Linked DNA regions of Drosophila melanogaster. The protein of the gene in region 1 purifies or fractionates together with the protein of each later gene. This does not show direct contact. Each region holds a gene or a part of one and is shown on either strand. Other genes may lie near its edges.

Region 1 (5,012 bases):
GCTTCTGGTCCAGCTGGAACCTGAGCTTCGTCAGTGAGCTGACCACGGGTACATCGCCCATTCGTAGGTAAGAGAGAAGTGGCTCCATATTCGAATAAAATACAATCTAATCCCTGCTTAACTTGCAGCATTTGCTACTCAACCCATCAGCATTTGGTGGTGCTAACGCGAGAGTCCCATATCCAAGTCTGGGAATCAGAGGGGCTCTATGGAAATGCCCCGAAATTCCCTCAAATCGTCTACAAATAATGTTAATGGGAAAATACTCAATAATTCAACTCAAAGCATATCAATGACAGACACATAAACGATCTAAGAAACAGCTGAATCAAAGAATAAATCCTTTTAAAAGATATAAAATACAACATTCGCTGGCGACAGCCACAAAATTAATATATCACAAGATTCCTAGGCTTAGGTCTCATAGAGCTGTAAAATACACCTTTTGTACCAAAACTTTATATTATTATTACATTTAAAATTTTCACCTTTGTTTTTCCCGTGCTGCATACAAATGCCACGCTGCCTTCAATTGTTGATATTATCAAATAAACAATCATATTTTGCAAAAACTAAACTATTTACTTTCAGAATTCCATAGAAAAATATACAACTACAATGTCCATTGTAGCGGCCATTCAAAGAGGCAGTCATTCTTAAAAAACTACAGGTATTACTAGATAGAATATTACTTGTCGAAAGCATCTCTCGTTGTCAGCACTTCCAAGGTGGAGGCTTACTGTTGCCACTTCCGCTCTTTGGTTTGCTTTGTTTGCTACCCTGTTTGGATGTCATGGCCAAGATCTCGTCGAGCCTGTCGAAATCACTGGGCGACTTGCTGAGCAGCAGTTCAATGTAGGCCTGCAGCTTGTCCATCGGCGAGGGGGGATCCCGTTTGCCCACCACATCCAGGTTATTCTTCTCAGTGTTGTTGCTGCGCTGCGATTTGCTCGATTTGGGCGTTTCTGGATACATGCGTGCATTATTTAGCTCCGGAGATTCACTGGCTTCAGTGTCACTGGATTGGATAATGGAGTTTTGACTAGGAGTGGTGAGGATAGCAAGGGCCTGCTGCCACTGGGCCTCCATTACCCCATGCAGTTTCTCCGCAATATCAGCACTGGAATGGAAAAAAAAACCATTTCTATTTAAACCAGAAAACAAATAAGGCTCTCATATCTTACCGCTTTGTTTTGTAACAGCTGAGCTTGAGATCCATTTCATCGATCTTCTTCGAGGCATTCGCTAGTTGAAGGCGGTACAGCTCCACCTCCTCGTTGTGCTTTTCCTGGATGAGATTCAATTCCTGGTTGTTTTTCTCATTGATCATTTCAAGCTGCTTTACTGCCCGCTCGGCTATGAGTCGTTCACGCTCCCGAGCTTCGTTCTTTAAATGCTCCTCATTCTTGTCCAGTTGGTCCTGGAACTCCTGCATCTTCTTGGCCACAACATTTTCCATTTGCTGTTGGTAGTATTGCTTTAGGGATTTCTGCTGTATATCTAGCTTCTTCTTGAGATTGGTCTGCAAAACAACAATCATTTATTATTGAGTTCTTTTTTTTTTTGTATTTATTTTTAAATAACCTCAGTTTCAGTTAGGTTCGCCAGAGTTTCTTGTAGGGATTTACGATGGCTCTCCAAGGAATCCGCTCTTGCTTTCTGCTTCTGATGATATTCTTGCAGCATTTCCTTTTGATTGGTCAGCGTGTTATTTTCCTTCTCCAGTTCCTCTATCCGCGCTTTTAGCTTATATATAAGAAATGTGGTTAAAGTGGCCGTGGTTGAAATCTTATTTTTAAATTACCTTTTCTTGTTGGTAGTCTACCTTGGCAAACTTATCCCTTAGCTTATTCAGCTCGGCATGTGACAGCTCCTCCGCTCTTTTGCTGCTGTTGAGTTGCATTTCCAGTTGCTCCAGTCTTTCTTCCCATTGCTTGGCGTCTTGCCTGCAATGGTCCAACTCCCTTTCGAGTTTATCATTCTTTTCCTGAAACCTGGTGGCCAAGTTGACCGCCTGCGACAACTCGTTCTGCAGTGCATCAAACCGGCTCTGGGATTCGCCCCTGTCCGCTTCCAGCCGGTGGACAGCGTCCCGCAGGTGCTGAACCTCGTAGTTGAGACTTTGAACTGTTTGCTCTGCCTCGGTGAGAGCAGCATCCTTCGAACGATCCACCTCGATGGCCACTGAGATTCGCTGCTGGTACTCCAAAAGATGCGACTGCAGTGTGTGCACCATTTTCTCCAGATGCTGCCTTCTGAGTTGTTCCTCTTTTAGGGAAGAGCTGCACAGTGGTCGGTTGGGCGAGTTGTTGTCGAGTACAGTTTTGGTCAAGCTGCTCTTGCCCCAGAGCTCGCTCAGACTTATGATCTTGTTCTCATTCAGGCTGCTTCGATCGACCCTGGCTGCTTCGACAGAAACGGCGCCGGAGGATGATGAGGCCAGCCTCATGCTGGGCAGAGACGAGGTTCCCGGATGACCCTCTTTCCCCGCCCGCTCGTTCCTCAGATGATCGTCGCTGCGGTGATGCAGGTGGTGATCGTGCCTCTGCCAACGGTGCGCATTATTGTCGTCTAGGTAGTGGTCGATTTCGAGCAGAATGTTGTCGTCCAGTGGTCGATGGCGGAGGGGCTCAACGGACCCACTCTTCGGCGTGGAGTGCACCATGCCGTGGAGCTCCCTACTTGGCCTTCCAGCGTTCCTTACAGTATTCGTGGATATGGTGGAAATGTCCGAGGGAGGCTCCTCCGCATCCAGTGCGATGTTCTGCAGCCGGGAATTGATGCTATTCAGCTCCGATTTCTTGCTGGGATGTAGGAACTGGTACGCTGCACTTGTGGTCGCCGGGGGAGGGGGCGGGGGCATGGCCAACGCATCTGCCGCCGCGCATGCGCTCATTTTGTCCTCCGCGCAGAAGTTCGGTGGTATCAGGAGCAGCAGATCGGTGTCGTCCGTATCGGTATCACTCATGCCTCATGGTTAACTGTATTAATAGTATGCTTATAGTACAATAATTGTTGTTTCAAAACAAAAGTGAAACTAACCACCGATTGCCATGGTGATGCACAGGGTTGCCAGGTGCACGTGGCAATGCAGGATTATCGAAAACAATGGACTATCGGTATATCACTATTCAGTGTGTCAAAACAAAAACTAAAGCTCGATATTCTAGTCTTCACAAGGCACTATATAATTTTAAAAATAATATACGTTGTTAGTCTTATTTTGCCTTTTGGCATATCTGTTGTAATTAACACTACCGTATATATCGCCTGTTTTTGGCGCCCATTTCAAGTGTGACCGTTCAGTGCGTTTGTTGTTTCCATTTATTGTCTTGTTTTTTTTTTTCGTCCTTCAGTTTTGAAGGAACTGCCGCCAGGATGGCAGATGTAAGCCTGTTTTTTGGCGGTTTGCCGGCCATTCTTCTGAAAGCGGATACCATTTACCGCATTGGGAGGCAGAAGGGCCTGGAAATAAGCATCGCCGATGAGGTAAATTGGCCCTTACTTAAACATTTCCCCTTTAATAACTCCTATCCTCAATGGGCAGTCAATGGAGCTGGCCCACGCCACAGCCTGCATACTGCGCCGAGGTGTGGTGCGCCTGGCTGCCCTGGTGGGCAAGATCTTTGTGAACGACCAGGAGGAGACCGTGGTGGACATCGGCATGGAGAACGCCGTGGCCGGCAAGGTGAAACTCCGCTTTGGCAATGTGGAGGCCAGGCTAGAGTTTGGAGAAGATCACGATGAGGTATGGGCACCAAATACCATTCTTACAGGATGCATAACTTAATGCTTACCCTTCGTTCAGGTCCACGACAGTAGCGGATTCGGGGAATGCCTGAAGAACGGATTAAACAACACAACCTTGGACAGCATGGATGTTCCGGAAACACAGCCTCCATCCGCCAACACATCAGTCAACACAACGGCAGATAGCTTATTTATACCCGAGACCCAAGCGGTGTTATGCGAAAGGCCTTCGACCGGACAAAGAGTGTCGCTGGGCGATGACTTCATGATACCCGAAACGCAGGATATGCTTGCGGATCTTCCACCTGAACCACCAGTGTTTAAACCCCCGGTTATTCCCGTAGTTGATAAGCCAGGTCCGACGATAGACAGCGATGAGGAATCATCTCAGGGCAGCATTATACGCATGTGCACCCAGGATTATAATGAGGATGCCATCGATGACTTCGATACCTCACAGGTACTCTGCGATGTTCTGCTGCCTCTTCCGCCGCCAACAGCACCAATTGAAGGTCTGGAAAATCAGGATACTAAGCGGGGTATGTGCATCCATTGAAACTGATAACTTTCAATAATGTGCGCTTTCTTCTTAGATCAACTGGACACCACCGACATGGAAATGAGTGCCTTGAACTGGTCGGCTAGCAATTCCAAATGCTGTGCTCTGAGTAGCACCAAAGCGGATGATATATTGCCGCGTGGCGATGCCTGCATTACTCCCGATTTGACCGCTCCGTCCGTAGATAGAAATATCTGCACACCCGATCTATTTGACCTGATCATGGGGGGGGATAGGAGGCGCGATGGCTCCAGCAGTCCAGATCCGTTCGTTCGTCCTGCGGACAATACAAATACCGCCACACCGCAGTTTGGCGGAGTTAAACAGCTGGTTGTGGCGACGATTGAGACCCCCACTGCCACTCCTGACACGAATAGTCAGGAAAAGAATCAAGATATGATAGCCACTCAACGATTTCCACGACATAAATTGTTGGAAAGTGACGAGGAAGACAATGGGCAAAACAACCAAGACTTCGTGGCTACTCAGGCGTTTAACTTAGGACGTCCGCAGGCACCACAAGAAAATGAAGCCAATCAAGATCTCATAGCGACACAGGCATTTAACTTGGCACCGCCACAAAAAGTTGATTCACCTAAACCCTCTACAGCTAATGATGCTTCCAACCAAGATTTTATAGAAACTCAGGCATTTAACTTAGGAATCCCACAAGCAAACATGGCTTCACCAGAAAATAATGAGA
Region 2 (2,897 bases), on another chromosome or scaffold:
GCTGTTGCTTCAGCGTCGAGGGTATGTGGTATCCGTGGATAATCCTCCGTGGCGCGTTGCTCGTCCGGATCAGCCAGCGGGCGACCAGCCAGAGGCAGTTTTCGCGCAGCGATCTCATCGGAAAGTGGATCAGCACTTCGCTGCGTACGTCAACCAGCTGATCCGGACTCTGCTGGCTCTTGGGTACCCGCACCCGAATCGGCTGAAAGATCCTCTGCGAGCGTACGTGCATCCGTTCGCCCGTGTAGTAATCCCGGAACAGCCAGCTGTGTGTGGTGAACGTGTTCACCCGCACCTCCTCGAAGGGCTTGAGGGTAAGGTACATGTTCTCCCGCTCCCGCTCGCACACCCAGTACAGATCCAGGGTGCGATAGGTGGTGTTTGCAAACAGCACGTACACCTCCACCTTTCCCTGATCAGCGCCCACCAGCTGCTGGCCGTCGCGGTTGTTCTGCGCTATTTGGAGCGCCATCTCCAGCAGGGTGCTAAGCCGATCTGCAATGGCTGCCAAATCAATTTTCGTTGTTTTACGTTTGCACAAGCCGTGGGAATTGGATTGAATCAAATCACAACAAGCTAACAACAAGTATAGATAAAATTCACTTCTTATCAGTTACGGTAACATTTTTCCTGCTGCGTGTCACTGCAGCTGGCCACACTTTCGATGAATGTCTTATCGATAAGGGGTAAATCAGCTGATTTGCCTCCGCCTCTCGCGAAAAGTAAACAAATAAACACCAAGAAATAACAAAATATGGCATTTTGCATAGCAGTTATTGGCAAGGATGTGAGTTTTATTTTTCATTTGAATACAATTAATTGCATGACAAATTCCCCACAGAACGCCCCCCTGTACCTGACCACATCCGATATGGAGCAGGAACTGGAATTGCAATATCATGTTAACGCCGCCTTAGACGTCGTGGAGGAGAAGTGCCTGATTGGCAAGGGTGCTCCGGAGTCCAAGGAGCTGTACCTGGGACTGCTCTACTCGACAGAGAACCACAAAATGTACTTGGGTGTAGTTATGCTGGTGAATTTGCAACTGATTGGTGGTTGATTTCATTACAGATACGGCTTTGTGACCAACACTCGGGTGAAATTCATAGTGGTCATCGACTCCAGCAACGTTGCCCTTCGGGAAAACGAAGTTCGAGCAGTGGGTATCCAATCTAACTATCTAAATGAAAGCCCCAAATACCTCCTACCCTCTGTATCTTCCAGATCTTCCGAAATCTCCACTTGCTCTACACCGATGCCATCTGCAATCCCTTTTACATTCCCGGCGAATCGCTGACTTCAAAGTAAGCGGGCTTCTCCTTAAAGAATATATAAGTTGCTCTTAATACGTTACTTTTATATCTGCAGGAAGTTCGATCGCGCTGTCCAGAAACTGATGAGCGGCACTGCCTAGCTGTAGATTAATACTGAACGAATAATAAAGCGAATTATTTATCAAATGCATACGTCTTTCTAGGAGGGATGTCAAGGTGGCCTGGCCAAGTGCCCGCTCCAAGCTAGACTCAAGAGAGATACGCACCGGAGATACGCAAACCGGTCGTTGGCTGGCTAGCCGTAGCCAAATATTATGCTAATTCGACATTTTTGACAAAAATAATTCGAGAATTAATTATATCTTTACAATGTGTCTGCTAGTTGACACATAGTTAGTTAATGTCTCCGCGTCAAACTCGTCTTCCGTCTGTTTCGGGCATTATTATGGGATTCAATGCGAACTTTAACTGAACGGCAATAACGAGGCACACATAAACATGTATTTTGTCTTATCTAATGCATAATTAATGAAATCAAATCCTACGCGTCTCTAGACTTGAACTTGGGCGCCACCGGCAGAGGTAAGCTGAGCATCAGTATCATATAAAAAGCAGGCAGAAGTTCCAGTTCGATATCAGTTAGCCTTCTCAAGTCTTTCAACAATCAACATGAAGTTCTTCGTAAGTGGCTTTATCGCAAATTGATCCTTTAATGATTCTAGCTGATTTGTTATTTACAATCCTTGTAGATTGCTTTCGCCTGCCTGTTGGCCGTCGCCCTCGCCAACGAAGATGCCAATGTTCTCCGTGCCGAGCAGCAAGTGAATGTTGACGGCTTTGCTTACGCTGTTGAGCTGGACAACTCTGTCAATGTGCAACAGAAGGGTGACCTTAACGGCGAAGAGTGGGTGGTGAAGGGAAGCCAGTCGTGGACATCTCCCGAAAATGTGCCAGTGTCCATCCAATATATCGCCGATGCCAACGGTTACCAGGTGGTGTCTGCCAACCCTCCTCTGCCCACCCCACCACCAATTCCAGAGGCCATCCAGCGTTCTCTGGAGTACATCGCCGCCCACCCCCCAAGTCAATAAATAATGTTAAATAAATGTGTTGAACTTTACTTTCCTAGACTTTTAATTTCTTCCCAAAAGGACTGTCGCTTCTTAAACCGAGTAGACAAACATATATACGCATCGTATTAGCGGACAGAAACTTGTTGGTCAGGGTCTACCAGACGGATGAATTATATTAGTACGTAATATGTATGGGTCTGACAGATGAACATTGTACCCAAACGCCATGCTGCCCCTGAACTCGGGGTCGTTCAGTTTTCACTTTCGATTTAGGATCACTTAGGAGCTGTTACTTTAGGATCACTGTTACGTAATCACGTTTTTTACCGGTTTTTAAACCATATCCATATACACCGGACCTGGTTTTGCGGTTTTGAAATAGAAGTAGACTAGTTCCCATTGCATATTTCAGAATAAGAAATTCCATATATTAGACTTTATTCTATGCAGATCATATCAAAATAATGAAAAGGGGTATAGTTATTTTTTTTCTGTTTGAAGACATTTAGCAATCCCTATCTAGTCACGTGATCGCGATGGGATAATCAGG
Region 3 (3,324 bases), on another chromosome or scaffold:
CCACGCGATGCAGCATGGGTCCCAAACGGGGTCTGGAATAGATTGAGTAAATTAACGCTTAAGTGGTTCGGTCAATAGCAGCAACTGCTTTAGAGTAAGCTATAACTATAACTATAAACAGCTGCAGGCGGCAGTTTAATGGCCCTTCTGTTTCTAATCAAAAGCGCTCACTCACTTGACAATGCCAAAGCCGAGACTCATGATGATGACCAGCATCCTGGCCAGCGTGCGCTTCGCACAGGACACAAACTCGGCCACCAGTTCGGCGTGCTGAACTGCAACACCCTTGTTCGTCAGCGTTTGGTATTCGGCGTAGAAGAAGGCCTTCTCTAGCATTCCCAGCAGTATGACGCCACCGATCCAGAATTGAATTCTCAAAAGATCCCGCCATTGCGCGAAAGAAACAAACAGCCAAATAATTCCAAATATCACGTAAACAATGCACATGATCAGATAGAACTGTGGGAAAATAAACATATACATGATTATGTATAAACAAAGTCATTTAGAAACACACTCGACCCCTACCGGCAGGAATGGCCAATCTATGGCCGAGATGAAGCCGTGTGGGCCCAGGAACTCTATGTGCACCACGGCACTGAACTGCGCGGATGGGCCCGCCGCGATGTTAACTTCGATTTCGTAAATGCCATCCTCCTTGACGCTCGCAATTGGGTTCGTTGTGGGCTATAAGGAAACGGAAGTGGTTCAATTACTGCGTTATCTCAGTGTTCCTGCTTCATTATACATATATAAGAAAACCTGATACCGAGTAGACCATTCCATTCAATAAAATGGCACAAATGCCTGTAAATGTTTCAAGCTGGCTCTATAAACAGTATGCCCCACCTATCTAGGGAATACCCTGTTTAAAGAGAAACGATAAGCTGATAAGGAAAAAGCCGAAAATGCTTTGCTGGCCCGTGGTAATTGCTGTGCTTCTACTTATCGTTGATATATGTCGCATTTACCGAAAGTGGGTGCTTGTGCTCCAGCATTGGATGCTTTGGCTCCGGTGTTGGGATCGCTGATCCTTCGACCACCTTGTCCTTGTTTATCGCCAGGACGATGAGTCCGTTGCAGGGATATGTCCTGGTGATCTCGGTGATGACGTTATTGATGGTGGCGTTCTTCTGCAGGGTAGCATTCTGGGCGATGGCCTGCAGCTGTTTGGGGATACAAGATTGATGGGATTAAATGGTCACTGAGCCATATGGAAACGTTGTACTCACCGTGCGGTCATCAAAGATGCAGGGGTGCTCCGTCAGCCGGAACGTAATGGTCAGGTTCGATTCCACATTGGAAGTGCAGCCCTTAACTGGAACCATTGAAACAGGTGTGGAAGAAAGGGGTAAGTCGGAGGCATTCGTCACGCGTTTTCCGCCGCCTGTACTTACTCTGCGCGTAGATTTTTGTGTTGGCCAGCAGCGGACGCTGCTCCCGGATGCTGGGCAAGTCCTGTGTGGGAGAGAAGAGGACAAACCAGTTGTTACGTAGCCGGAAAAGGATTAATTCTAATTCCCCTATTTGTTTGGGGCTGTGGTGGTGGTGCACATATTTACCGTGGTCACCAGCACGTCCACCATGCCCGGATCCGATTTCCCGGCCGTGCTCGCCGGGCCAAGTAGCAAGGCCAACGCAACCACCAACAGCGTGGCCGATCCCTGCATTTCGAGTTGTGTGTGCGTACAATGGGCTTAAGTAAATACAAATATTATTTCCTCTTCTACTCGTCCGAACTTATCGGGCCTATCGTTCTTCGATAACACTTGCCGAGCCTATCTGACGCTTGAGCCAGTGTGACCATGGAGCCGGCAACAGTGTGGCTGCACGCCATCAGCTGGTGATATAACCTGAATTGGAGAATTAAAAACAGCAAAATGCTACGCAGGGTAAATAGCTGAAAATATCTATTAAATTATCTATTACAATTTCATTTTCCCACTGTGCTAGATACTGCCAAGTGTGCGGCTGGCGCTGCAGGTGCCCAAAGCAACCACAACAGCCGTGAGGAGCACCAGTGGAAGTGTTTACGAACCGGATTACCTGGAGGTGGGTCCTCAACTGAGAAGGAAGGATCTTAACCCCTTTTTAAATATTACTTGCTTTGAGCATAGTAGCATAATCTTGTAGACAGATTTCAATCAGATCAGACTAGATGAGCAATTATTTTGGTGGTCAGTAACCATTGTTCTCCGTTTGCAGTCCCTCAAGCCGAAATTCCCGCAGTACGAGAGCCTGAATGTGCAGATCAAGGGCTACGACTACCCGCAGCTGGAGAGCTACCAGAGGTTTCTGCACGGATTGGCCGAGTACCTGGACTTGGACGTCTCCGACTGCTACGCCCTCCCTCCGCAAAAGACCACGGTGCAGCGACTGCGGCCCAACTCCACGGTCATCGAATCGGAGTACAAGCTGACCACCTACGAGCGCAACCTGCAGCTGAACAATGTGGATGCGCCAGTCTATCCGCAGTTCTTGCGCCTGGCCCAGGCGGCGCTGCCCGAGGGTGTGAGCTTGCAGGTGCAGGAGTACACCGACGACTGCGAGGAGCGGCGCTACGTGCCCGACAAGGAGCTGCTCGACCTGAAGGACGAGCTGGAGCGCATGGGCGGACCCACCACCACCAGGAAGAAGTAGGCGGCGCCTCCGATTTGGCAAACATTTAATGCTTAGCTTTAATGAGTAACCTGTGTAAAGAGTATAGAGAACCTATGAGTAAAACTTTCCTATTTAAAGCTTTGCACTAACTGGGACGGCAATAGTTTAGCCGCCGTTTACAGAAGTTAATATTCTAATACAATTTCACGTGTCTCTTTTATTTTTGATCTGTCCTTTAGCTTGGTTCAACAGCGACTGACTGCCGCGCTCTCTGCAGAGTGGCGAGTCGATTAGTCGATAAGTTTCTCGATAATATTTGTATGTTAAGGATGGGTGTATGAGTGTATAAGCTTATGACTAGATTGGCTATGTATAATTAGGTATGTATGACTAAGAGTAAAGGAAGAGGGTAGAAGGAGCAGCCTACTACAATAGTTACAAACGATTGGAAGACGCAGCGCTTAACCGTTGTGTGGTGTACGCCTGGGAATTGCACTATGAATTATTAGACCACGCCGAAGTGGACCACCTTGATGGACGACGAGGAGGAGGAGGAGTTGCCGCCCTTGCTGCTGCTCTTGGGTTCTTCCTCGCGTCGTCGGATGGGCGGCTTAGTCACATCTGCGAAGAAATGACACGGTCAATGGGGCAAGGTTATTGGTGAACTCAACAAATACCCACTGGTCGTAATGGGGTTGAAATCCTTTAGATACTCGTCGTTCG

Evidence for each region. Proteins that work in one complex are often made in the same cells at the same time.
Region 2: the proteins of Cnb (region 1) and Cpr47Eg purify together in Drosophila melanogaster (affinity purification with mass spectrometry, with the first as the bait; one large-scale study listed by BioGRID). This does not show direct contact.
Region 3: the proteins of Cnb (region 1) and mRpL48 purify together in Drosophila melanogaster (affinity purification with mass spectrometry, with the first as the bait; one large-scale study listed by BioGRID). This does not show direct contact.

What each region holds. Positions count from the first base shown.
Region 1 is NT_037436.4:1,945,816-1,950,827, reverse strand, and holds Cnb (centrobin), read right to left. Parts: upstream 3,264-5,012; 5' UTR 3,043-3,263; intron 2,982-3,042; 5' UTR 2,969-2,981; coding exon 1,805-2,968; intron 1,747-1,804; coding exon 1,585-1,746; intron 1,523-1,584; coding exon 1,185-1,522; intron 1,121-1,184; coding exon 715-1,120; 3' UTR 566-714; downstream 1-565. Other genes in the region: mv (mauve), read left to right, coding at 1-67, 129-249; mu2 (mutator 2), read left to right, coding at 3,379-3,489, 3,548-3,748, 3,809-4,289, 4,344-5,012.
Region 2 is NT_033778.4:11,277,453-11,280,349, reverse strand, and holds Cpr47Eg (cuticular protein 47Eg), read left to right. Parts: upstream 1-1,904; 5' UTR 1,905-1,943; coding exon 1,944-1,955; intron 1,956-2,023; coding exon 2,024-2,365; 3' UTR 2,366-2,393; downstream 2,394-2,897. Other genes in the region: Vhl (von Hippel-Lindau), read right to left, coding at 1-472; CG9067 (uncharacterized protein), read left to right, coding at 755-787, 842-1,011, 1,072-1,159, 1,225-1,304, 1,369-1,414. UniProt on the Drosophila melanogaster protein: Component of the larval cuticle.
Region 3 is NT_033779.5:1,708,646-1,711,969, forward strand, and holds mRpL48 (mitochondrial ribosomal protein L48), read left to right. Parts: upstream 1-1,816; 5' UTR 1,817-1,880; coding exon 1,881-1,892; intron 1,893-1,953; coding exon 1,954-2,052; intron 2,053-2,205; coding exon 2,206-2,640; 3' UTR 2,641-2,820; downstream 2,821-3,324. Other genes in the region: CG17660 (uncharacterized protein), read right to left, coding at 1-32, 176-459, 529-687, 972-1,166, 1,233-1,318, 1,398-1,458, 1,563-1,670; frtz (fritz), read right to left, coding at 3,107-3,222, 3,283-3,324.